Linked DNA regions of Oryctolagus cuniculus. The protein of the gene in region 7 binds, or shares a complex with, the protein of the main gene of each other region. Links are inferred from orthologs where the notes say so. Each region holds a gene or a part of one and is shown on either strand. Other genes may lie near its edges.

Evidence for each region.
Region 1: SMARCA4 (region 7) and ARID1B share a complex: the UniProt entries of both Homo sapiens proteins name them as parts of the neuron-specific chromatin remodeling complex. The link is inferred for Oryctolagus cuniculus from reciprocal best matches to the Homo sapiens genes SMARCA4 and ARID1B.
Region 2: SMARCA4 (region 7) and SMARCD3 share a complex: the UniProt entries of both Homo sapiens proteins name them as parts of the BAF complex. The link is inferred for Oryctolagus cuniculus from reciprocal best matches to the Homo sapiens genes SMARCA4 and SMARCD3.
Region 3: SMARCA4 (region 7) and SMARCB1 share a complex: the UniProt entries of both Homo sapiens proteins name them as parts of the BAF complex. The link is inferred for Oryctolagus cuniculus from reciprocal best matches to the Homo sapiens genes SMARCA4 and SMARCB1.
Region 4: SMARCA4 (region 7) and DPF1 share a complex: the UniProt entries of both Homo sapiens proteins name them as parts of the neuron-specific chromatin remodeling complex. The link is inferred for Oryctolagus cuniculus from reciprocal best matches to the Homo sapiens genes SMARCA4 and DPF1.
Region 5: SMARCA4 (region 7) and ARID2 share a complex: the UniProt entries of both Homo sapiens proteins name them as parts of the SWI/SNF-B (PBAF) chromatin remodeling complex. The link is inferred for Oryctolagus cuniculus from reciprocal best matches to the Homo sapiens genes SMARCA4 and ARID2.
Region 6: SMARCA4 (region 7) and DPF3 share a complex: the UniProt entries of both Homo sapiens proteins name them as parts of the BAF complex. The link is inferred for Oryctolagus cuniculus from reciprocal best matches to the Homo sapiens genes SMARCA4 and DPF3.

What each region holds. Positions count from the first base shown.
Region 1 is NC_091436.1:10,839,573-10,843,695, reverse strand, and holds the start of ARID1B (AT-rich interactive domain-containing protein 1B), read left to right. Parts: upstream 1-1,323; 5' UTR 1,324-1,984; coding exon 1,985-3,787; intron 3,788-4,123. UniProt on the Homo sapiens protein: Involved in transcriptional activation and repression of select genes by chromatin remodeling (alteration of DNA-nucleosome topology).
Region 2 is NC_091438.1:22,584,119-22,587,618, reverse strand, and holds part of SMARCD3 (SWI/SNF-related matrix-associated actin-dependent regulator of chromatin subfamily D member 3), read right to left. Parts: coding exon 3,318-3,500; intron 1,619-3,317; coding exon 1,576-1,618; intron 449-1,575; coding exon 326-448; intron 211-325; coding exon 52-210; intron 1-51. UniProt on the Homo sapiens protein: Involved in transcriptional activation and repression of select genes by chromatin remodeling (alteration of DNA-nucleosome topology).
Region 3 is NC_091452.1:30,760,124-30,763,623, reverse strand, and holds part of SMARCB1 (SWI/SNF-related matrix-associated actin-dependent regulator of chromatin subfamily B member 1), read right to left. Parts: intron 1,946-3,500; coding exon 1,755-1,945; intron 1-1,754.
Region 4 is NC_091449.1:16,351,900-16,356,127, forward strand, and holds the start of DPF1 (zinc finger protein neuro-d4), read left to right. Parts: upstream 1-1,428; 5' UTR 1,429-1,432; coding exon 1,433-1,575; intron 1,576-4,228. UniProt on the Homo sapiens protein: May have an important role in developing neurons by participating in regulation of cell survival, possibly as a neurospecific transcription factor. Belongs to the neuron-specific chromatin remodeling complex (nBAF complex).
Region 5 is NC_091440.1:136,658,280-136,660,838, reverse strand, and holds the end of ARID2 (AT-rich interactive domain-containing protein 2), read right to left. Parts: intron 2,059-2,559; coding exon 1,914-2,058; 3' UTR 501-1,913; downstream 1-500. UniProt on the Homo sapiens protein: Involved in transcriptional activation and repression of select genes by chromatin remodeling (alteration of DNA-nucleosome topology). Required for the stability of the SWI/SNF chromatin remodeling complex SWI/SNF-B (PBAF).
Region 6 is NC_091451.1:19,026,746-19,030,688, reverse strand, and holds the start of DPF3 (zinc finger protein DPF3), read left to right. Parts: upstream 1-1,143; 5' UTR 1,144-2,614; coding exon 2,615-2,646; intron 2,647-3,943. UniProt on the Homo sapiens protein: Belongs to the neuron-specific chromatin remodeling complex (nBAF complex).
Region 7 is NC_091447.1:66,652,800-66,656,299, forward strand, and holds part of SMARCA4 (transcription activator BRG1), read right to left. Parts: intron 3,335-3,500; coding exon 3,208-3,334; intron 1,508-3,207; coding exon 1,334-1,507; intron 874-1,333; coding exon 700-873; intron 1-699. UniProt on the Homo sapiens protein: ATPase involved in transcriptional activation and repression of select genes by chromatin remodeling (alteration of DNA-nucleosome topology).

The DNA.
Region 1 (4,123 bases), on a different chromosome or scaffold from region 7:
TTATCAATCTGAATAAAAGCACTGTATGATTATTTGCATATAGTTTGATTATCAATGTCTGAAGCATAAACAAGATTGATTTTAGAATACATGTATATAGATACATAAAACATTTATATTTGCATATGAAAACTTTAAAATGCAACATATGTGGTTAATACGTATAATTAGTATGTATTTGAATATATAGAGAAAAGCCAGGGAAAAAAATGTCAAAAGGCCCACTAAAAGAGATGTAGTGTTCTCTTGGCACAAACTGATGATTTGGCATGACTTCCTCTTACAGTTCTGTTATTGTCTCTTACCCGTTTTCCAGTTGTTTGGACAGAATGGCAATTTGTTGTTTCTTCTCCAAATAACGACCCTTGGGTGTGCGCCTGGCTCCCCGCCCCCACCAGTCACCAGTAGCTCCGTCTGGCTATCTGTCTCTAGTCAGGTAACATGCTTACACTTGGTCAAGCATACATAACTAGTGCATCCGAAACAAGCCGAAATGCTTGCTATGGAAAGCTGAGGAATGAAATGATTTTGGAAAACTATACTCTACCAAAATCGTGTATCTCATTTCTGGGAGTGTGACCCCTGGAGAGCTGGAGAGTACTTCTTAAGAAGTACTGTTACTAAAGATACTCATAATGATACTAGGTGGTAAACTCATAATAAAAACTGTTGCAATACACAACTGTGTACTATTTCTGCTTTTACATTAGATTGGACTGTTTTATAGTTATTGATCTTGTATTTATATTACATTTAACATCTATTGAGTTTTGTTTCATGTTACTTGGAAAGAAACTTTCTCAAGAGGGTTCTCTGTGCCCGTTACCCTCTGAAATAACGCTGGAAGGTGCTACTACATCACCGGAGGGGGGGGGATTCGACTTTGGACAAATAGTGGCATCTGCGTGGGAAAGCTGTGTGCCGCGTGACCCTCGGCTGCGTGTGCCCGAGACAGAGAGGACACAGGGGTGCGAGCTCTCCCCACAGACTCCTTGCACAGGAATCTAGGGTGCCTTAAAAACAGCCACGTAGCCATTATCTCTGGGGCAGGTGCCGGCATCGGTGAGCATCCATTGAGTACCTGCTGTGTACAGGGCTCTGTGCTCTTCGAACGCGGCTAACCCTCCCCGAAAGCCCTTCCTGAATTCTGCAGTTGGAAGAAGTTGTGGGAATCACGCCGATGGCCAGGAATCAAGGCAGGGAGGCCAACGTTCTGGAAAATTACATAACTCCTGTGAGAGCCAGCGCTTTTGCAGATCGCCCAAATATTTTCTTTCCTCCGTGGGCTCCTCGTCACCTCGGAGGCCCACGGACAACTTCGTGCCCCAGCCCTTCTTCCCTCTTTTGTCTGCTCGCCACAGACTCGTTTTTCCACCTTTGGAGCGTTCCTTTTAGACGCGAAAACAAACACGCGAACGCCCGGTTGGCAAGGAGACGGAGGCACGAGGGGAAAGTGCAGCTCCGGCCGCCTCTCGCCGCCGCGCTCCGAGCGGCTGCCCAGCCGGCCTTGGCCCGGGCCTGCGCGCGGCCCCCGGCCCCCGGCCCCCGGCCCCCGAGGCTGCGCCGGCACGGGCGGGCGGCTGCGGCCCGCGCCGAGTCCAGTCCGCGTTTTGCGAGTGCACAGGAGCAATCAGAGAGAAGTGGGATAATAGTTGCTCCAGCTCGCTCGGCTCCTTCTCGTGCCATGCTGGGCCCGATAGGCTCAGCCGGTCGTGTATTTACCCATATCCGGGTTAGAGAGGAAAAGAGAAAAGTTTCGTTTAAACCTGAACTAAAAACTTTCACCGTGAAAGCACACAGCGGGAGCAGGCCCAGACCGTAAGGCGTGCCCCGGGCCCGGCGCTCCGGCGGGGCCTGCGGAGGGGGAGGGGGCCGGCGGCTTCCCGGCGGGCCGCGTGGATGCGCGCAGGAGGGGCCGCGGCCTGAAAAGTGGGGGTATTGTCTCCCCCCGCCGCCCGCCCGGCCTCGCCACGCCGCGGCGATCATGGCCGCGCGGGCAGCAGCGGCGGCGGCGGCGCGGGCGCGGGCGGGCAGCGGCGAGCGGCGGGCGCCCCCCGGGCCGCGGCCGGCGCCCGGGGCCCGGGACCTGGAGGCGGGGGCGCGCGGCGCGGCGGCGGCACCGGCGGCACCGGGACCCATGCTGGGGGGCGGCGGCGGCGGCGGCCTGAATAATGTGCACCACCACCCCCTGCACCCCCGTCACGAGCTGAACATGGCCCATAACGCGAGCGCCGCGGCCCCGGCCGCCGCCGCCAGCACTAGCAGCGCCAAGAGCGGCGGCTCGGAGGCGGCTCTCAAGGAGGCTGGAAGCGCCGCCGCGCTGTCCTCCTCCTCCTCCTCCTCCGCGGCGGCGGCGGCGGCGGCGTCCTCCTCTTCCTCCTCGTCGGGCCCGGGCTCGGCCATGGAGACGGGGCTGCTCCCCAACCACAAACTGAAAGCCGTTGGCGAGGCCCCCGCCGCACCGCCCCACCACCACCACCACCACCATGCCCACCACCACGACCACCATGCCCACCTCCACCACCACCACCACCATCACCACCACCACCACGCACTACAGCAGCAGCTAAACCAGTTCCAGCAGCAGCAGCAACAGCAGCAGCAGCAGCAGCAGCAACAACATCCCATTTCCAACAACAGCCTGGGCGGCGCGGGCGGCGGCGGCGGCGCGCCTCAGCCGGGCCCCGACATGGAGCAGCCGCAACATGGAGGCGCCAAGGACAGTGCCGCGGGCAGCCAGGCCGACCCCCCGGGCCAGCCGCTGCTGAGCAAGCCGGGCGACGAGGACGACGCGCCGCCCAAGATGGGGGAGCCGGCGGGCGGCCGCTACGAGCACCCGGGCCTGGGCGCCCTGGGCGCGCAGCAGTCGCCGGCCGCCGTGCCCGGGGGCGGCGGCCAGGCGGCCGTCTCGGAGTTTAATAATTACTATGGCAGCGCTGCCCCTGCTAGCGGCGGCCCCGGCGGCCGCGCTGGGCCTTGCTTTGATCAACATGGCGGACAACAAAGCCCCGGGATGGGGATGATGCATTCCGCCTCAGCCGCCGCCGGGGCCCCCAGCAGCATGGACCCCCTGCAGAACTCCCACGAAGGGTACCCCAACAGCCAGTACAACCATTATCCGGGCTACAGCCGGCCCGGCGCGGGCGGCGGCGGCGGCGGCGGCGGAGGCGGAGGAGGAGGAGGAGGCAGCGGAGGAGGAGGAGGAGGAGGAGGAGCAGGAGCAGGAGCAGGAGCAGGAGCGGGAGCTGTGGCGGCGGCGGCCGCGGCGGCGGCAGCAGCAGCAGCAGGAGGCGGCGGCGGCGGCGGCGGCAGCTATGGGGGCTCGTCCTCGGGGTACGGGGTGCTGAGCTCCCCCCGGCAGCAGGGCGGCGGCATGATGATGGGCCCCGGGGGCGGCGGGGCCGCGAGCCTCAGCAAGGCGGCCGCCGGCGCGGCGGCGGGGGGCTTCCAGCGCTTCGCCGGGCAGAACCAGCACCCGTCGGGGGCCACCCCGACCCTCAACCAGCTGCTCACCTCGCCCAGCCCCATGATGCGGAGCTACGGCGGCAGCTACCCCGACTACAGCAGCCCCAGCGCGCCGCCGCCGCCGCCGTCGCAGCCCCAGTCCCAGGCGGCGGCGGCGGCGGGGGCGGCGGCGGGCGGCCAGCAGGCGGCCGCGGGCATGGGCTTGGGCAAGGACATGGGCGCCCAGTATGCCGCTGCCAGCCCGGCCTGGGCGGCCGCGCAACAAAGGAGTCACCCGGCGATGAGTCCCGGCACCCCCGGACCGACCATGGGCAGATCCCAGGTAACCCCCGCGCCGGCCGGGCCTGCTTCCGCCCGGCGGCCTCGCCGCGCCGCGAGCCCGAGTTTCTTTCTTTGCCGCGTACTTTTCCCCAGTTTTCTGGTTGGGGGGCGGCGGGGGCGCGGCGCCCAGGGCCATCTTCGCGGGCGGCCGCCTCCCGCCGAGGTCGGGCGCGCGAGCGTCCGCCCGCCGAGTCCGGGCCGCGCCGTGCGGGCCGCGCAGGGCTTCGCCCGCGGCCGCGGGCCGGGCCGGGCGCTCCGGTGCCCGGTGGACCCGCAGCCTCGCCCCGCCGGCTCTCCCGAGGCGCTGGGGTGGTGACGGGATTCCGAGACAGCGCCC
Region 2 (3,500 bases), on a different chromosome or scaffold from region 7:
AAACCCTCAGTGCAAACATCTACAGCAGTCCTCGGCTGAGCCCGTACCCACCCCAGGACACCTGGAGAGACCTGGGCCAGGACGTACATCATCCAGGAGCTTCCCCTCTACCCGCAGCTCCCAGGAGGCAATGCTGCCGTCGGAATCCTCCGCATCGGGCTTTGCAGGGTTAAACGTGTTGGAGATATAGAGGCGCAGCTTCCGCTTTTGCTGTGGAAACAGAATGTCGTGCCAAGCGGAGGCTATGTGCCCCAGCCCTGAGGCCACCCTGCTGCCCCATCCTGGCGCGGTGCTTGGAGCCCTCCTACCCCCCAAACTAAGGCACCTTCATGGGCCTCTTCAGAGCCTCTTGGATGTCCACCCGCTTCCGCATGATGGTTTGATCCAGTTTCCTCTCGAACGCTAGGAGGTCCATGTAAGCCTGGGACTCGGGGACCAGCTCCCGAATCTGGAAGAGGAAGAGGAGAAGACAGGGATCAGGGGCTCGGCCAATCTTGCACCGTGTGTTGTGTGATCCCGGGGTAACACATGGAGGGAAGTTGTCTGGTTTCAGGACATGGACTTGGGAGAGTGCGAATTAGACCTCTCCCCTAGGTTCCATTATCCCCAAGCAGGGGCCTTGATATGTGGGATAGAAAAATGCCCCCGGGGCCAGTGCTGTGGTGTAGTGAGTTAAAGCCCTGGCCTACAGTGCCAACATCCCATATGGGCGCTGGTTCGAGTCCCAGTTGCTCCACTTCCCACTCAGCTTTCTGCTATGGCCTGGGAAAGCAGTAGAAGATGGCCCAAGTCCTTGGGCCCCTGCACCTGTGGGAGGGACCTGGAGGAAGCTCCTGGCTCCTGGCTTCGGATCAGCTCAACTCTGGCCATTGTGGCCATTTGGGGAGTGAATCAGCAGATGGGAAAACCTCTCTCTCTCTCTCTCTCTAATAAATAAAATAAACCTAAAAAAAAAAAAAAAAAGAAAAATGCCTCACCCCCTAGTGAGACCCAGGTATGTCCCCCCCCGGGAGGAGGGGGCTACTTTGGAGCCCAGCAGGCACGAGCCCCTAACCTTTTCTCATCTTGTCTTTCCACTAGGCATTCGCTTCCTTTGGGAGACAGCTGGGGGACACTGTTGCTCGCCTCCACCCTGGCATTAACTAGCCCCCCATGTGGTGTCTTAAGCAAGTTACCCCATACCCAGCTCAGCCAGGATCCCTTCTTCTGGTCACCTTTTTTTCCCTGCACTCCATCTGGTAGCCTCTGATCCCCCAGCTTCAGTCTTCTCTTTGTCACACGCCTTTCATGTCTTCCTTCCACTGGGTTTGAGCCCCCTGAACCTCAGGCCCAGTGTTCTATACCCCTCCACCCCAGGGCTTCGTTCCTCCCCCTCTGCCCTACCTCCTCCCTCAGCCCCCACCCCAAGCCGCACTTCTTAATGAGCTTTTGAAACAAAAAGTGAAAGTGACTGTGCCGCTGAGGCTCTGCTCCTGAAGGGGGAGGGGAGGCAGCACCGGATTGGGAGGGGGGGAAAGGAGGGTGGAGCAGCCAAGGCTGGGGGCCAGGCTGGGGGCTGCTGTGAAAGGCACTCACCCTTTGAGGGAGGATTTTGTCAGCCATCTTCCTCCTTTTGGCACTGTACATTTTTTAAAGAAAAAAACAGGTTACCATGGTGACAGATCTGGGAGTAAGGAGGCCACCTGCTAAATTATCCCGACATCTCCGCCTGCCTGGCTGGGGTTCCCACAGCCGGCTTGTCTGCCCGCCCGAGGGCGGCAGCAGTGGTGTGTGGAGCTGGTGCTCTGGCCTCTCTTGGGAAGTGGGGTGATCCATGCTTTCTCTGGCCTGGGAGAGGTGGGGGTGGGGACGGGGAAGGTGCTGCCCAAACATGGGAGCAGCAGAAATGTTCCAGAAAACCTGGGCAGCAGGGAGGGAAGCTGGATTTGGAGGACCTTGGCTTTCTGCAAAGCAGGGTGTGCATGTCCAGGGTGGCCTGAGCTCAGAGGGAGGGGGAGAGATGGACCCCCTACCTCTGGAACTGAGGACTTGTATCCCTGTCACCTTGGGCTTTGAAGGGGACACTGATGGGCAGGGGGTGGCTTGGGCCCTTGGCCCACCAGCCACCAGGGCAAAGGACACACCACACTCATTAGGGACCCACAGAGTATGCAGTTCTGTGGGGGCATGACTTCAACCTGGGGTCATACTAACTGGTCCTCTGTGGACAGGTAGCGCTGGGGTCTGCACTCTCCTTGACCTGCCCAGCTGCTTCTGACTCCCAAAAGCACCCCCCCCCCCCAAAACCTTGGCGGGTCAGGAGATTCAAATGCAGCCAAGAGAACGGCTCCATACTGCCCCCACGTGGTAATCTCAACCACTGCCCCTTTCCTATCCAGAAAGCCATTAGGCAAGGGACTTTCATTAAAGGTCTCATCTGTTTTAAACAAATGATCTATGTGAAACTCTCCATTTAGAAAAGATAAATCATGGAATTATTATCTAATGTACAACATGGTAATTCAATCTGCAGAAGAATTCATGAGATTCCCATAAACGGTGAATTCTCCTTGATGTATATAAATAATATTTAATAATGAGGAAAAATTGACATTACACCTTTTATAGAAACCCATCTGTCGTGCAAAAGGAAGCATGTGCATTTGGCTAAATACTGAAACCTAGAGGGGTATCACTCTTGCCAGGAGCCAGCAGGAACTTTTGGGGTGCTACCAGCTGCCCAGGCAAGCAGGTGTGCTGGCCCTGGTGGCTTGGGGCAGACCCGGTCCAGAAAACAGAACGGCAACTCTGAAGAGTCTTTTTGGATGTCTACAAATTACCTGGGACGAGCCGCCCCCAGAGCAGCTCCCCAGGCCCCACCCCCCACGGCTAGGGATTCCGACTGAGATCTGGAGCGCTTTGAGACAGCCAGCCAGGGGACTGCTGGAAGGTGCCCCCCGGGGGAACTACACTGTGGGAAGCCCGGCTCTAAGGCTCTGCCCTCAGCCCTACTGTCAGCCCCGCCCTACCCCACCAGACCGGAGCATCACCCGGAGCCTAAGGGGTGGAGAGGTGCACTGAGCAGAAGACAAGAAGGGCGCGGGGCGCGTGCAGGGAAGGGCCACTGGCTGCCGATGGCCGCAGCCAGTCTCGACCGTGGGCACACAAAAGAACCAGACCAGTGTCCCCTAAGCCCAGCTCCTCGGAGGAGGACTTGCTCCTTGCTTAGCGTTTTTCCTCGCCTCTTCCAATCCCCGCCACTCTCCCACCTGGTTCCCGCGGGTCCTGACAGCCCCCCTTGCACGCCCCCTTCGCGCGCCCCCCCCCCCCCCACTCACCTGCGACTCCGCGCGGGGGCGGTGGGCACCGGTTGGCCTTGGCTCTGGGCCTGGCTCTGCCCGGGCGGGGGCGCTGCTCGCTTGCGGGCGGGCTCCATGCCCGCGGGGGCCAGGCCGGGTCGCACGGCGGGGCTGCCCATGTACGGTGAGCCCGGGGGGCCCATGGGCGCCCCCTGGTGGGGC
Region 3 (3,500 bases), on a different chromosome or scaffold from region 7:
AGTTTCCTGGCTGCCCAGACACAGCACACAGAACAGGCTGGGCCCTGTGCTTGGTTGACTGCGAGGACCCAGGCCAGCCCTCCTGAGGCGAGAGGAGGCACTGGGAGCACCTTGCAGGCCCACGGGCAGGTCCCTGTCCTGCCTGGCTGTGATGCAGGGCACGTGCACTCGCCCTGGGCCCCAAGAGGGTGGCCTGGCCTTTTAGGCCAAGGATTTGAAACCTGCAAACTCAGCACTGGAGACCGCAGAGGGACAGGAGTCTGTGCTGCTTCCAGCCCCCGCAGCTGGAATTCATTAAATGGTCACTGAGATAAAGGATGGGCCTGACTGTAAGTCCCAACCTGCCACCACCAGGGACTCCCAAGGGAGCCTGCTGTGGAGCCACTCTGCGAAGAGCAGATGGACAGGAGCTTGGCAAGGAATTTAGGCCAATGGCTCGGGTCGCCCGGGGGCCACAGCAGAAAGTAGCTGAGTGCTGGTGGACGCCAGGACCACCTGTCCCGAGTGCTGACTCAGCTGCCAAATATAGGCCAGGCCATCCCCAGTCACGAGTGTCAGGAAGGGAGGCAGCTCACCCTGTCCCTGCCTCCAGTGTCAGGCTGGATGCACAGTGGCCATGTGACCAGAACACTCCAGCTCAGGGGCCTGTGGGTCAGGGGAGGCCTTCCGATCCCAGGGAGCTTGGGATCAAGAGGCCGCGGGGCCTTTGCCTCCTGAGTCCTGACTGTGGCGGGGCAGCTGCTGCAGACCCAGGAGAAGGTCGCCTCTCACAGCATCTAGCACCAGGCAGAGGAGGTGCTTGCTGGGCACTGACGTCACTCCCAGGGCCCGCGTGACGTCGCCGCCTCCAGGACCTCAGAGCCAGCCCAGACTCTGACCAGCTGCACCCATAGGTGGGCTTCCTCAGCTCGTTGGGCTGGCCCCTGGTGAAGCAGAACCACTCGCCCGCACAGCTGCAGGAGGGGTCAGTGCAGGTGACGGATGTGACGGATGTGCCCAGGCACTGCGCCCCGAGGGGCTCAGCTGCTTTCCAGGCCCGGGGCCTAGCATGGGGTGGTGGGTGTGCCTCCGTTCCTGCTCCCTCACTCAGACTTACGGGAAGCCCTGAGACAGACATCTGGAAAACAGCTGAGATGAGCCCCTGTGTTGTCGGATGGTGCCCCTGAGGAGTCAACTGAGCAGACTCAACTCCAAGATCCCGTTCTGACGTTCGTCCCCCACCCCAGGCACTCCCAACAAGAAAGGCGCTCTGAGCCAGGGGTCCATGCCACAGGCCCCTCCCTGCTCCTGCAGCCCTGGAGGAGGACAAAAACCACTCTCATTCCCCACTCACTGAGCTCCCTGGGATCGGAAGGCCTCCCCTGACCCACAGGCCCCTGAGCTGGAGTGTTCTGGTCACATGGCCACTGTGCATCCAGCCTGACACTGGAGGCAGGGACAGGGTGAGCTGCCTCCCTTCCTGACACTCGTGACTGGGGATGGCCTGGCCTGTATTTGGCAGCTCAGAGTTAGCACTTGGGACAGGGGCTGCAAGGGGTGGGAACTTCAAGGCCACACTGACTGGGCACCGAGTCTGCACCCTCAGCACTTCCCATCCCTGACCTCTGTGGCTGTGCCGGGGGAGCCCTGCCAAGACTAGAGTCCGCCTACACTGTGAATCGAGGCAAAGTCCCAAGGTGTCAGCGCTTCTGGAGAAGTCTTTCCCCAAAACGGTTTTGCAGGAGAGGGAGAGAGAAGCTTGTGCCCGATCCTACCTGAAGGCGTAGGTCTTCTGATGCCAGCTCAGCTGTCCCCGGATGCTGTATGCGATGGTGGTGACAAACTCCCCGCCTAGCCCCAGCTCCGAGCACAGCTTCAGGGCAAACTTCTCTGGCGAGTTCTCCTTCTCCGACATGTCCCACTCAAACTGGTCCACCAGGGAGATGTTTCCCACGTGGATGTTCAGCTATGGCAGGGACCAGAAGAGAAGTCAGAGCAGGCAGCACCGCCCCCAGCCCAGGGAGGTGGCTGGGAGGTGTGACAGACCACGCTGGAGCCCCAGACCCAGGGTGGAGCCTACCCACAACTCAAAGAGTTGAGAACTGGAGCTGATCCTTGCCCTTCCAACTTTCTATCTGCAAACGGCTGACCCCATAAACCTGCTGACTGCTGTGAGGGGCTCTAGGTAAGAGCTGGGCAGTCATGCTTGGGGAGGCCCTGAGGGTACCTGGGTCCACCTCATCTCCATCCCCATCCCCCATGCTGGCTGGGGCCTTCTTTCCTGCTGCTTGCCACCGTTGTGTGACTTTAACAGGCAGGGCTCAGTTCAAGTGTCCCTCACCAGAGACATCCATGAACCCCTATCTTGGTCCACTGTCTACGTCCCTCTCAAAATCATTTCACCAAGCATGCTCCCAGATGTACCCCCACCGTGTGCCAACCTGGCCAGGTGACAGGCCAGACCCAAGGGGGAGAGCAGCATGCAAGTAGACCCCTGTGGGCAGGTGACAGAGAGGCCCAGGCGCTGCATGTACACCTGGGGAATACCTGGGAAGTGGGTCCGTGGGAAGCTGGCACCCAGGAGCTCCCACCCACACCCATGTCCCTTGATTCCCCACTCCCTGGTCAGTTGTGCCTGTTCTGAAACTGGTCATCACTGGATCACGCAGGAGGGACCCCTTGGGACTGACTTCACTCCCTCAGCATCACATCTGTGAGCTCCTCCCCTGCTGTCCAGTGTTCTGCTGGGTGAGCAGGTCATGGAGTACCTGCCCACTCACTCTTGTCTCTAGCAAGACGAAGATCACGGTGGCAGGTGGGCAGCCTCATGGTGAACTAGCCACTGCTCTCATAGCCCAACCCTCCTGGGGACTTCTGCTGCCCTTCTGAGAAGTCAAAGCATCCAACTCCTGCCGGCATCCAGGAAGTCCTGTGCGGCTGAGCCTTTTGCATCAGTTTCCGCTTACCGGAATGTTCTTCCCTTCACCTGGGCATATGCAGCCTCTTTTCAGTCTCCTGGCTGTGGCTGGGGTGCCAAGTCCTGAGACTTCTGCTCCCCACCAGCCCTCTCCCCACTGTCCACCTGTTTTCTTCACAGATCTTAGTCCTTTGTCTACTTCTTTCCCATCTCAAACCGGGCATCCTGAGCATAGCCCCAGGGCCTTTGTTTCAGGCCACAATGAATGGCGCCCACAGCTCCAGGGCAGAAGAGGAGGCTGAGGGGCAGAGGAATGGTGTCTGTGCAGGGCACACAGCTGGGCACGGCGGCCTGCAGCAGACTCCCAAGGCCCTCCTGTCCCTGTGCACACTCACACTTGGGGATTAAGCTGGGTTTTTGGAACAGACTCAGAGATGCTACCCCGTCCCACCTGGAACCATATGCCAGGCCAACCACGTGGGTGCTGGGCCCAGGAAGAACATGCAGTAGCAGGCAGCCCCTAGGAACACTCCAGGCAGGACCCAACAGGCCCACGGTGTGTGGCCAATCCCCAGCAGCCATCCCTGCCCAGGCTTGCGGGCTC
Region 4 (4,228 bases), on a different chromosome or scaffold from region 7:
GAGGGCTTTGAAGGCACAGTGAGGACTCCGCGTGGCTCCGAAGGTGAAAGCAGCCAGGGGAGATTTCAGCCTGAGCGTCTGTGTTTTAGACAGCTGTCTGCCGCCGTGGGAGCAGACTGGGGGGCAGTGGGAGAGCAGCGATGGAGCCGCCACCATGATCCATGCAGGGACGATGCTGGACAGGGATGGGGGGTTGCTGGACCTGCCCTGTGAATTGTAGAGAGGTCAGGATTTGCTGGTGGGCTTGGGTGTGTGTGTGTGCGTGCGCATGTGAGAAAGAAGAGGAGAGTAGGGGATGATTGATTGCACTTAGGAGAGAATCAGCTGCCCACATGGTCCTTCAGGAGGTGGGTCCTCCCCCCCCCCGCCCCAGCTACGTCTTCCTACTCAGCTCTGCACAAAGCACCTGTGCCCACCTCAGGGCCTCTGTGCTCTTCCACTTGTCATGCGTGGCTGGCAACTTTTCAGGGCTCAACTCAAAAGTCACCCGCTCTGTGCAGCCACTCCTCCAAACCAAACTATTTTTTTTAAAGAAGATTTATTTATTTATTTGAAAAGCAGAGTTATAGAGAGGCAGAGACAGAGAGAGAGAGGTCTTCCATCCACTGGTTTACTCCCCAGATGGCTGCAATGGCTGGAGCTGCGCCGATCCGAAGCCAGGAGCCAGGAGCTTCTTCCGGGTCTCCCACGTGGGTGCTGGGACCCAAGGACTTGGGCCATCTTCTACTGCTATCCCAGGCCGTAGCCGAGAGCTGGACAGGAGTGGAGCAGCCGGGACTTGAACCGGCGCCCATATGGGATGCCGGCACTGCAGGCGGTGGCTTTACCTGCTACACCACAGCGCCAGCCCCCAAACTAATCTATTTTAATTCTGTTATAGCACTCAGCATTTTCTGAAAAGATCCCTTTATTATTATTATTTTAAAATCGTCTTTCTCCACTAGAACGTCAGCTTCCTGAGAGTAACGACTTGACTTTGGTCGCTGCTGCATTCCCAGTGCCTGGCACATGTAGTCAATACACGAACAAAGGCGTTGGATGAGCCCCCATGTTGTCAGAGACTGGCTTACCCCGAAGAGACGCCCCGATAAGTAGACTCAGACAAGAATCCGCCGCAGATCCTGGGGACATCCACAGACCCCAGGGAGACTCAGAACCACCCGGGAATGGAGAGCCCGGGCTGGGAACAGAGCACCCCCCGGGGAGGGGGAGAGGATGCTCCGGGAGGAGCCCCGCCCCGCCCTGTATCCCCGGCAGCCAATGGGCGCGCGGTCCTCCTGACGCCCCCTGGGACGTGTAGTCCGGGCAGGGGCGCCCTCGGGCGCCGCCGCGCGCCCCTAGACTCCACGTCCCGTCGTGCGCCGGGAGGCGCGGGGATTGGCCGAGCCCCGCCCCCGGCCCGCCCCGCTCCGCTCGCGCCGCAGCCCCAAGAATGAATGAAATCGTAGCGCGCTGGGCGGCAGAGCGGGCGGCGCAGGCCGGGCTGGGCCCGCGCGCGGCGGCAGCGGCGCCCCGGGCCGGAGGCGGCCCAGCCGAGCGGGCCATGGCTACCGCCATTCAGAACCCGCTCAAGTCGTGAGTGTCCCCGCTGTCCCGACCCGGGTCCGGAGTCCCCGCACCCCAGCCCTTCCTCCGCCCTCCCTGGGGCTGGGGAGGGGGACCCAGCGCGCGGATGGTAGTGGAATGGGGGTCCCCCCACGCGCCCCCGTGCCTCTGAGGACTGTCACCCTTTGCCGCCCCTCCGGGGGCTGGGCACGGGAGCCCCTCCTGGGTCGCGGGGGCGCCTCTTCTTTGTCGCTGTCAGTGAAGGAATGTGGCGCGGGCTGGGGGTGGGGGCTTCCCTCCCCGCCTCCATCTGCTGCGCGGTGTCTCTGGGGGCGGCGGGCCCGCCCCGGAGCGGGCTGGACGCGCGAACGCCCAAGTCCGGACCTGAGTCTCCGGGGTTCCCACCACCCCCTCGCTCCTCGCCCGAGCATCTTTCTCTACACCTCCTCCGCCTTCTCCGCGACCCCGGCGCTGCTGGCCTCGGGGTGGGGGCTCGGATGTCGGGGGCCCCCGGTCGAGTCCCCTTTGCTCCCCGGGTCCCCGGCACCCAGAAGCCCCGACGCCACGATCGCCTGGGGCCGCGGCTTCCCTTCTCTCCCGGCCCGTGCACCTCCAGCCCGAGCGTCTCGGCTCCCCTCGGGAGGGCTGCGCCTCCGTCTCGGGGGAACCCCTGCCTTCTCCACGCCCGCCTCCCTCCGGCTTCCTCTCGGCCCCGTGGCTTGGGATAAGGACGCCCGGGTCCGAGCCTGGCGCCTGCTGTCCCTCGCCCTCTCCACCTCTCTCTGGTTCCCTCCTCGGGATCCCGGACTCCTGGGTCCTGGCGCCCCCCACCCCCTTTCCCAGGCGGTGACAGCAGCTCTGAGTGGCAGGCGTGCGGCCGCTCCCGCCCTCTCTCCCCTCCCCCTCCTCCCGGGCCTGGTGGAGGAGGCGGAGGGCGAGCGCCTGGCGGCGCCGCACAAAGGGGCTGGGGCTACCTCCCCCACCCTGCCCCCAAGCCCCAGCGCTGGCTGCCTTGACCTTGAGCGCGGAGAGCTGGGGGTGGGCGAGTGCACCCCTCCTAATGAGGACTCTGTATGGTGGCTGGACCACTGGCCCTCCAGTTGTTGGCCCCTGGTTTCCGGGTTGGGGGTGCCAGGTGGCCGAGCAGGGTTTGTGCAGGGGCAGGGACTTTGGCAGCACGCACCTGCTGTGCGAGCAGAGTCAGTGCGAGGTGGTGCGTGGGGGTGGCAACCGCTTGTTCCTCTCCTGCCCCAAGGCATGCACACAGACAGACCCAAGAGGGACACCCCCAAACTGGCAGGCAGGGATGGGGCTCCTGCGCAGTCATGGGATCCACAGGCCCTCAGGGCCCTGTCTCTGGCCCTGGCTCAGGCCCTCGGAGGAATACTAGGAATAGGGTGCCACTCCTTGCAGGTGCCTGGAGGCCAAGGTCAGCCACAGGGGCCAGGCCAGTGCCTTTCCCCTGGGGAGTTCAGAACCCAGCTCAAGCCATTAATTCTCCCCCACCCCCACGCGCCTCAGTGTTACCATCTGTGAACTGGGGATTACAGCGGTTCTTAACTCCCGGGAGTGAGGCCTAGCGAGGCTTAAACACGGTGATCACTGGGAAGCCATCGGTGCGGAGCCTGACCCTGGCTAAACGCAGTGATGATTAGTCCAGTCAGCACTGGTTCATCAGTACTGGTCAGTAACGATTTCTCCTGGGGCCAGCACCCACTTAGGGCTGGGAGCTCGTGGGAGGGGAGGGGTCTGAGGGTGACTGAGGTCAGGCAAGGGCCAGCCTGGGTCTGTGGGCTCAGATCCCGCTGGTGGGCCAGGACCTCTGGGAGGTGACCTGGTCTCTACACCCAGGCCACACTGGGTCAAACTGAGTGTGCTGTGTCGGGGCCGCAGGCGGCTGGTCAGGCTGTGGCTGCAGGTGTGTGGAGCAAGAGTGCTGAGCCTGGGTCTGGGGGGCAGGGCTCATGGTGGGTCAGGTGTCTGGTGGCCACTAAAGGAGCCTGGAGGCCAGAGTGAGCTTGGGGTGCCAGCGCGTCCCACTTAGTCCTCTGAGCAGATGTGAGTCAGACACCCGACCCCTCCCGTCGGCGGCTGGTGGAGGGGCGGGTCAAGGCCCTACCTGGCTTAGATGGAGGAGAGTTTATGGAGGGACTAGAAGTGTGTGTGTGTGTAGGTGACCACGAGTTTCGGAGGCCTTGAGTGGATCTCGCTCAAGGAGGAGGGGACCAATTGACAAAGGAGGTGAAGACTGGCCCGCCCCGTCTGTGCGCTGGAGCGCCCCCTAGTGGACAAGGGGTGTGCAGGCGTGTTTATTTCCCTCAGCCTCTCAAACTAGGGTGCTCTTGAAGGGGGGATGCGTTTGCGTGTGCGTGTGTGTGTGTGTGTGTGTGTGGAGAGAGAGACAGAGAGAGAGAGAAACGGGAGAATGTGCCTTAGTGTGTCAGCTCACCTTCTAGGCATTCCTTAGGGTCGATTGAGTGTGTGTGTGTGTGCATGTGTGTGTGTGTGTGTGTGACCCAGGAGGTGAGGGATCAAAGTCCAGGTGCATGAATCCTTCCCTAGTGGCCTGGCCCAGCAGTCCCCAGGGGCTGAGGGCATGTAAGGTCACTTCCCTGTGACCACCTGACTCCTCATCTGAAAAACAGGTACGAAATAGGATTAACTCAGGACAGAGCTGTGCCTG
Region 5 (2,559 bases), on a different chromosome or scaffold from region 7:
GAGGTTTCTCAAAGCGATCATTTTAGAACTGGCAGGGTGCAGTGCCAGGAACCCCCTTCAGGGAGAAATCAGAGTATTCGATATCAATCGAATCCAAAATTTAAAAATTTGCATGTCCTTTCACTCAAAGAATCTGCCCCCATACTCAGTTTGAAGATTTGTTTTATACTGTGGTTCTGAAGAAACACAGTATCAATAAGATTTCAGGCAAGTGTGCAGTATCCAATAATTTATAAAAAGCGCATATTCAGCACTAACGGCACCACTCAGGCTATTATTTGGGTTTGCTTTGCATTACAGGACACAGAAATCAACCTCAGGGCCATCTCCCATGTATTTCATGCAAATGTGTCATGTAGAGGACCTCCCTCCTCTGCTCCCTAACACTCAACAGAAACAATAGGTAGGTGACCGTTTGGGCCTCGCCTTCAGCTCAACTTAGGATTCTTTATAGGTTTTTAAAAAATAGCTTAGCATACTCAGAAATGAAGGACTCAAGAAAATGTTCAGTCTTTTATTTAAAAACTATAAACAGTCACCAAAGTAAATAAAGCCATTCTATAACAGAAACTGTTAGGTCTATATTTTTTTTAACTGCACATCCTAAGGACACAGCAGAAATCGTGGTTGGGAGGCCTTCCACATTTTTGGATGCTAATAGAACAGGCAATAGGCAGTTATAAATGGGTACATTTCACGCTGGGAGGGAGAAAGACAATTTGGGGAAGTGAGCAGTATCTGAGCAGGAATGTGGTACAGTATTAAGAATGGAGAATTAGACAATAAACCCCACCTCTAGGAAGATAGAAAAGGAGTGGAGAAAGTGTACTGCACAGAATGCATTTACAGCACAGGAGAGCGCCTGTATAAAATCCCATGTATTCAAACCAATTTACAAATACAAAAATTTCTGTCCAAGCTCTGAGCTTAAACATGACAAACGCTTACAGTGGATACATGTTAGGGAAAAACCAAAAAATACCTTCAAAGAGTTTTTCTTCTACAAAAATGACATGAGATATATTACTCCATACTCTTTTCAGCCAGCAAAATGAGTTCTACAAGGTGTATAATACAAAAAGAAAAAAAAATCACAGTCCCACAAAACTGTCTGACTTTACAGCATCAGTACCTTGCAGAAGTATTTACAAAGATTGAAGAACATTCGTCCACTGCGCAGAATATATCACAATTACTTACAATTGACAGAAGTCTAGAAAACGTGAGAACCTATCGGTAATGCTTCTAGGACACCACAGAATGTATCTCCAGTGGCTGCAGCGGCATGAAAGGTGTTCCTTCTATTCACAAATATTTACAAGATCTATTCAGACTGGTAAATTTTTATGATAATAAATAAGTGAAAATATATTGGCTCAAGTAAGAAAACCAAGCTACTGATTTCTAAACAAAACACACAATCCATAGCTAGATATTGGTGGCCCCCTCTGAGACCAGGGGGTATAAGTGTGCTGAAACTTTTTAATTATTCAAACCAGCTTAAACTGTTTAGTAAATATAAAAATGTGCTCCTTTTTGGATATAGATAAAAATATTTAATGCTTCTATTTCATCTGCTCGTGAAGATTTTACAAGATCCCATGTCTACTCCAATGTGGATGGTACTGAATTCTGATCATACCGGTTCCCATCAGGACTTCAGGTCTGAGAGGCATCCTGCAGATGAGCTGATTGACAATCCCACAGCAGTTTTTTTCTTTTTAGATTTTTTTCAAACAGAGAACAAAAGGGATTCGCTCAAAGATCAGAATACGAACTTCCTCTCAACATCAAGGGAGGAGATAAAATAATTCATTCCATGGTCTCTGTTCCATTAAGACTTGGTGCTTTCTTCAGTAACAGTGTGTGAAATGTATCTGACTTGCAGTCCCCACTCGAAGTGGAATTCTGTTTCACTGCAGCATTTCTGAGTCTTGTTCTTGTTCTTTGCTCTGAACTGTGAAGTTCAGTTCATAAAGGCATTTGGCAAGGGTGGAGGAAGCTTCCATGTTACTTATAGCAAGTACTGACAGGTTGTTTTCATGTCTCTTTAGTAATCTGGAAAGAAATACAGAAAGTCATCAGTCTCAAGGTAACAGTGAAGATTCCTGATCCAAAGTTTTACGAGTTTAGGAGCTAGAACAGAAACTGCTTAGCTGCACACCCAGGCCACATCAGTGCAGCATAAAGGAAGTGGCCAGGGCCCCTCAGCGTCTTCCCCGTGCTGCCTTCCCATCTAAGGAAGCCTGCACGGCATCCCTGTCTTCATTCATGCTTTCGGAAGATTCATGTGACAGAGAACAGCTGGAGAGGAATAAAATCAAAGTTCACACCACGGGCCGAGTTTCACAGGATGAAAAGTGACTCCATCTAGCTTGACTTACTCCATTACAGCAGCTGCTTTCTAAAAATGCAGAACCACAGATGTTCCCGGTCCCCGAATCGCAACACTCACGTGCTTTGTCACAGAGATGAGAGATTACAGAAGTGAGTGTGTGACCTTGCGAAGAAGGAGTGACACTGAGCTCACACACGTTGTGAAAAGCAGACAGGATTGGC
Region 6 (3,943 bases), on a different chromosome or scaffold from region 7:
CAAAGGGGCAGTGGCTATTTTGGATCTGCCCTGCCCTGGCATGCAGTTGCCTAAGCTCTTCAGTCAAGATGAAAGGGATGGGGTGAGATGGGGTGATTTAAATATGTGTCTCTATAGAGCTTTGGGAATGTGATTTTAAAAAATGTCTTGAAATTGTGATCAGCAAGAGGATTTTTTTTTGAAGTTTATGTGGTTATAATATTATGCCTCACTGAAGCATTCTTGTTTATTCTAATCCCATCAAAGTTGTTCAGTTGCTCATTTTTTTCTTGAGATAATTCATTTAAAAAGCAATACTCTATGGACAGTCTCACTTCCTGTAGTGTCCGCTTACTCAGATTGCATGCATTCCCTCTGCCATCAGGACGAGTCACCTCTCCATGGACTCCACCTGGACGAGGCTCCATTATTACAGCTGGGGAGACTGAGGCCTTCATGCTAAGGAAACTCACCCATGGTAACCCAGCTGGTAAGTGGGGGACTCCACAGCCTGCACCCCTAACCGTACATAAGGCTGCTCCATTTTAAAATTGAACATTTTCCAAAACTGTTCATGAACCCTGTCTCCTTTAAACACATTCCTAAGCCCCTTGGCTTTTGAACATCTGGCCAAAAAAAAAAAAAAAGTTCTTTTGTCTATGAAATAAAATCCAAAGTTAAAGTAATAACAGCTCACTGATGTTGCAGAATTGATAAAAGGTAGCTTTGTAATAATTCTGCTTGTTCAGAACTCACGTGTGTATTGACAGAGTTAAAATGATATTCCAGTGGATTACAAAAAGTCAAGGCTATCTTTTTTTTTAAATTACTATCTTTAATGTATTATTTTTCAGTCCAATCAGTACAAGATGTAACATAAGTAAGTTCTGGATTCAAATCTCTGACAGCGAAGACAGATTGATCTGCCATTTTCCAGTGGGACTACACTGGCTTCTGCTCTGGGCTTTGACAGTTAACCCTATGTCCACTCTCTCATACGCAGTATGAATTTGTTTTTCCCTCCCTCTCCCATTGGATCGTAAACCTTGTCGGGAGCAGGCGCCACATTCCTCACTTCCCTTACCAGACTGCGTGCATTAAAATAAGGCCGTTGTCTGCTAATGGTTGCGTTTTTGATATCTCAAAGTCGTTGGGGGAAGTTCTGCCTGATAACTTGAAACTCGCGCTTCCGGTGTGAGAAAACAGTGCTGGCCTGTTCAGATGCCCGGGCTCATCTCGGCCCAAGGACGCGCTTTGGGTCCAGCCCCTCGCGCAGGGAGTGCCTGCGCTTAGCACCGAAGCTGGTTTGTGCAGACGGCCGTCTGGGCCAGGGCGCTGCTGCGCCGCCGGCCAGGCACGGGGAAGGGGTCCCCTGACCAACACCCCGACTCAGCCGCCGGCGGCTCATCCGCAGCCCTGCTGGGGTATGGAGTTGAGCTTGGCAAGTTCTGGGACGTCTTACTGATGTTCGGAGATCATAGGTGAGCCGCCCCTCGCCCCCACCCCGCGACCTCGGCCGCTGGACCGGACTCGGCCGCGTGGGGGTGGGGGGCTGGCGGTCCGCAGAGCCCGGGGGCCGGTCCCGCGCCCCGCCTGCACTCCAGCCTCCCGCCTCCGTCGGGACCCGGCCAGGACGGGACTTCTTGCTGACTCCGAGCGGACGCCTCTGGCCACAGCGGATTACTCATTAGCAAATTCTTTTCGCCTTCTATCTAAGTAGTGAAAGGTGACGCCGGAGTCGCGAGCGCCGCTCCCGGAAAGGGACTCGGACAACACCCGGCCCGCGACGTGTGCCTCGTCCCCGGCTTCCCGAGGGGCGGAGAGCCGGGGCGTCCAGCTGGGGCCCCCAAGCCTCCGGCGGGCGCGGATACGGGTCTCGCCGCTCTGGGAGTTTCTGGGGGCGGGGGCGCGGCGCAGGGTGACCCCCGAGCCTTACGTAACGGAAAGCCCTGGCTGGAGCCCGCAGCGAGGCTGACATGGAGACACTCCAGGGACAGGGCAGCTGCTGTCCGGGAGTCGCCAGCAGCGGCGGCGGCGGTTCCAAGAGACCGGGAGAGGAAGGCGGCCGAGATAAAGAAAACACTTGGGGAACCAGAACGTGCCCAAGCCGCAGCACCCGGAGCGCTTAGCGAGCGGCTGGACGCGTGCGGTGATTTGCTGGGCGTGGGCCACGGCTGCCCTCCAACTTTGCCCCGGAACGCGGGGATGGACCCCGCGGGGGCTGAAGAACGGCGGTGTGCGCGGCCGATGAATGGGAGCCGCTGGGCTGCTGGCAATGTGTAAATATTTCCACCCTGGAGCGCAAACTCTCTGCAGTTATTTTAGGAAAGTAGGGACCCGAAGGAAACTCGCCCGCTCTCCCGGAGCGTCTCCTCTCGGCACCGTCCCGGCGGGAGCGGCTCGCGCGGTACTGCCCCTTTAAGACCTGCTAGCTCTCGGGCTCTACAAAAGGGAGTGACCTCTGGGCTTTGACAGCTCCCCTAATAACTACCACCGCGCAGGCCCCGCCCACCCGGCGGCCAGCCGCGCCGATTGGCCGGCGGGCCGGTATCCCGTGCTCTGATTGGCCTGCCGCTTCCCCTGAGCGAACCTTTAGAACTCTGAGACAGACAATATTCTGTTACATTGTAGCAAAATGGCGACTGTCATTCACAACCCCCTGAAAGCGTAAGTACGACTCAAAAATGTACATATTCCGCGTGGTTTCAATATGAAAAAAAAGGCGCCTTCCGCGCGCCCAGCGCGGCCGGTGCACGGCGCGGGCAGGCGCCTCCCGCTGCGGCCGCGGCTTCTCTCTTTTCTTTCGGCTCTTACTTCTTCATCTTCTCTATCCCCCCCCACCCCCGCCAGCGCGCAGAAATGTCAGGAGATGCAATTAACAAGAAGAAAATTGTTACATTTGCGTTCCGCTTAATTGGAGGATCCGGAGAGAGACTGGCAGCTAGAGGCTCCGGCGGCCGGCGAGCCGGCGCTCGCGCGCGCGCGGCGGCCGGGGGGTCGCGGGCAGCCCGGGGACGGCGCGGTCCCCCGAGCGCCCAGCGCGGCCGGGCTGCGAGCGCGGCGCTGGGGGCGGCCGGGCCGGGGGCGAGCGGCGGACCGGGGCCGCCTCCATGCGCTCGGCGGAGCCCGGCGCCTCCGGAGCCCGCGGCCCCCGCCCCGCGGCTCTCGGCCAGCCGCGGCGGCTCGGGAGTTTGCAGGGTGCCCGCCGCCTTCCGATCGCCGGAGGGGAGTTTGTGCAAACCTTCCGGAGTTGAGAGAGCGCCGCGGGGGCGCAGCGGGGCCTGGGAGCCCCCGGGGCCGGGGAGGCCCCCGGCGGGGACTGCGCTCCGGGCGGCCGCCGGACCGTGTTCGGTTGCCCCTGGCTGGGGCCCGTTCCCGACTCCGGTCCATTCGGGGGGTGGGTCCGGGGGCAGGGACGCCGCGGGTCTCCTGAAAGGTGCTGTCGCCTGCTCTGGGGAGCTGCCGAAGCGGGCGGAGGGGCGGCCTGGGGCTCCCGGCTCTAGCGAGGGGCAGGTGCCTGCGGCTGCCGCGCGACACTTTGAGCGGACGCCCGGATCCGGGACGGCGGGGGCCGGGCTGGGCAAGCCCCCGCGGAGGCCAGTCCTCAGGTCCGACCGCCTGCTTTCCTCCTCCTCCTCCTATTCGTCCTGGCTTCCTTCCTTCCTTCCTTCCAGTCCGTGGAATTGTTAAGCCGCCAAGTCCGCTCGCGACCGCAGAGCCGGGGGCGGCGGCCTTGGAAACTAGTGTCGCTGGGCGAGGGGTGCCCGGGGCAGGGGCTGGGGTCGGCGCCGCGCTCCTCCGCCCGGGACCTCCCCGCGCTGCGGGGGGCCGCCGGCCAGAGGCAGGTGAGGTGCTGGTGGGTGGGGGACGCGGAGTGCGTGGTGGGGGTTGACCCTGGTTCTCTGAACTCCGCGTATGCGCGCCCACGCCCCCCCCCTTCCCGGCCCCCGCCTCCTCGATTGCC
Region 7 (3,500 bases):
CACCTGAGGGCCCTGCAAGGAGCCACCGCAAAGGCCCCAAGTCCCGCCTTCTCCGTCCATGAGACACACCCCCAAATCCAGCCCTTCCTCCAGCTGGTCCACACGACAGCACTGCCACACCTCGGCAGGGGCGCCCTCGGGCCCAGAGCCCTCCTGGCAGGCCGTGGGGATCCACCTGCCCCACACGAGGTGCTCGGACCTCCCATCTCGGGGGCCTGGGACCCGAGGCACTTGCTGGACGCCACATGCAGCATGCTGCCACCCTCCTGTCCCCAGACCGTGCACCCTGGGTCACGCCTGCCCTGCAGGCCTCTGGTGGTGAGGCCTCCTGTCCACCCCACGCCCTTGCCTGAGTCCTGCCCTTCCCTGCACTCATCTTCACATAAAACCCCCTCCTGTGTTTCACCCGGGCTATCTGAAGCCCAGGAGGGCAGGGGCCGAGTTCCGTCTCCTGCAGCGCCCTCTTCCCCCACGGCCCAACAGACTACTGGGGGGTCTCCACTGCTCCCCCTGTGCCCCCTGACCCAATGTGCAGGGCAGCCGACGGGCCTGGGTCCCGTGGCCCCTTCGTGGTCAGGTCTGAGGCAGGGGTCTCTGCCCCCAACCCACGCCTGTTTTCCCCTTTGCCCACCTCTCACCCAGCCCCTACTGGACCGGGCGCGAGCCAGCTGAGCGGGCCGGGCTGGGGCCGGGACGCACCATGAGCCTGCGCATGCGCTCCTTCTCGATCCGCTCGTTCTCCTTCTTCTGCTCCCGCTCCGTGTTGGCGTGGTACGTGGCCACCGCCTTGGTGAGCTTCTGGATCTTGCCCGTGACGGATCTGTGGTACTCCTTGAAGTCCTTGGCGTGCTGCAGGATGCTGTTGAGGTACTCCTGTGGGTGACGCCAAGGGGGCGCTGACCGCTCGGGGGACGCCACTGGCAAGGGCGCTCCCCCGAGGAGGACCACGCGCTCATCGAGACGTAAGCGCAGCGAGACTGTGCCGCTGCCTGCTAGGAGGCCCGGCCCCGTGTCCTGACAAAACCCAGTGCATATTGTAAGAATATGTCCAAGATCAGTCCAGAAAACCTGGAGGGCCAAGAACGCCTGTTCTAGCGGGATTTTTTTTTTTAAATTCTGAGAGCTGTAAAATATGCTATGTGTGCCCAAACAGGGGAACGGGGGACAGGCTGAGATGGAATACAAGGTTGACATCTGCCGTGTTTCAGCAGTACCTAAACACACACCAACGTGCGGTAATTTTTACCAACACAAAGCTAACTCGGCAGACAGGGGCGACCGTCACAGCCGAGACGAGGCCGCGCGCGGCGCGGGGGCGCCGGCCGGGACGCACCTGGTGCTTCTGGCGCCGCTTGCGCTCCTGCTCGATCTTCTGCTGCTTCTCCAGCTTCTCGGTGATGCGCGCCTCGCGCAGGGACTGGCGCTTGCTGCGCTTGTAGGCCTTGGCGTTCAGCGCCGTCTCCAGCGCTGTGTCCCTCCGCATGCACACCACCACCTCCTGGCGCAGCTTCGGGAGGAACAGGAGACGCTGGCACCGTGCACGCCACACCACGCCACGCCACGCCACGCCGGTGCTGCCGCCTCCGAGACCAACAGCCCCACCCCGCCGGCTCACTCCCAGAACGACGGCACCTGAGACCGGACTGTGAGTCCGTCACTGATGCCCCTCGGGGCCCGCATCAGCAGGACGTGGGAGAAGGAACCCCAGCACCCGACGTGGGAGGTGCTGGGCTCAACGCCCATTCCGGGTCATCTCTAAAAAGATGCTCAGGCACCGATCTGTATGCAGAGAGCGGATGGCAGGAGCCACCGGCAGGCGGCACGGAGCAATGACCATCTGGAGCCCAGCAGAGGGCCCTGGCGTGCCTCAAGCCTGCAGTGGGCCTCCCACAACACACAGAGGTCCTTACGGACCCCCAGAAGACAGCACCCCTTGGAGAGGGGCCGCTCGAGTCTCATCCCCCACCGGGCAACCGTGCCAGAGGGAAGCCCCCGCTTAGGGAAAGCCTCAAGGGCAACCCCTCCCACCACCCACTGGGCCGCAGGGCAGGCACAGGGGACCAACAGCGCCCTTGCGTGAGTGTGAGTGTGCGCACACGTGCGAATGGCCAGGGAGCAGCGCCCCAGCGCCCAGGGAGCAGCGCCCCAGCGCCCAGGGAGCAGCGGCCCAGCACTCAGGGAGCAGCCCCCAGCACTCAGGGAGCAGCCCCAGCACTCAGGGAGCAGCCCCAGCCCCCAGGGAGCAGCCCCAGCCCCCAGGGAGCAGCCCCCAGCCCCCAGGGAGCAGCCCCGGCCCCCAGGGAGCAGCCCCGGCCCCCAGGGAGCAGCACCCAGCACTCAGGGAGCAGCACCCCAGCACTCAGGGAGCAGCCCCAGCACTCAGGGAGCAGCACCCAGCACTCAGGGAGCAGCCCCCAGCCCCCAGGGAGCAGCACCCAGCACCCAGGGAGCAGCACCCAGCACTCAGGGAGCAGCACCCCAGCCCTCAGGGAGCAGCCCCAGCCCCCAGGGAGCAGCCCCAGCACTCAGGGAGCAGCCCCAGCGCTCAGGGAGCAGCACCCCAGCGCCCAGGGAGCAGCCCCAGCCCCCAGGGAGCAGCCCCAGCCCCCAGGGAGCAGCCCCAGCACTCAGGGAGCAGCCCCCCAGCACTCAGGGAGCAGCCCCGGCCCCCAGGGAGCAGCCCCAGCACTCAGGGAGCAGCCCCAGCGCTCAGGGAGCAGCACCCCAGCCCTCAGGGAGCAGCCCCCAGCCCCCAGGGAGCAGCCCCAGCCCCCAGGGAGCAGCCCCAGCGCTCAGGGAGCAGCCCCAGCCCCCAGGGAGCAGCCCCAGCCCCCAGGGAGCAGCCCCAGCGCTCAGGGAGCAGCACCCCAGCCCTCAGGGAGCAGCCCCCAGCCCCCAGGGAGCAGCCCCAGCCCCCAGGGAGCAGCCCCAGTGCTCAGGGAGCAGCCCCAGCCCCCAGGGAGCAGCCCCAGCCCCCAGGGAGCAGCACCCCAGCCCTCAGGGAGCAGCCCCAGCCCCCAGGGAGCAGCCCCAGCCCCCAGGGAGCAGCCCCAGTGCTCAGGGAGCAGCCCCAGCCCCCAGGGAGCAGCCCCCAGCACTCAGGGAGCAGCCCCAGCACTCAGGGAGCAGCCCCAGCCCCCAGGGAGCAGCCCCAGCACTCAGGGAGCAGCCCCAGCCCCCAGGGAGCAGCCCCAGCACTCAGCCCACCTGTCTCTGGAAGTTCAGCAGCCTGAGGGCCTTGAGCTCAATGGTCGCTTTGGTTCGCAGATCCCCGGCCAAGGACCCGGGGAGGTTTTCAAGTTCCTGGATTCGGTGTGCGATGCGAGCCTGCAGCCTGGGGCGGGGAGAGGCAGTGAGAAGGCGGCCCCTCTGCAGGGCCCTGCCTAGGAAGCCCTGGGCAGCCTCCCAAGGACGCATCCTAGGCCGCAGCCCTGAGCCCTGGAGTCTCAGCAGTGGGAGCCAACCTCCGGTCAGGAGGCCCGAGGCCCCGCCCCCGCAGG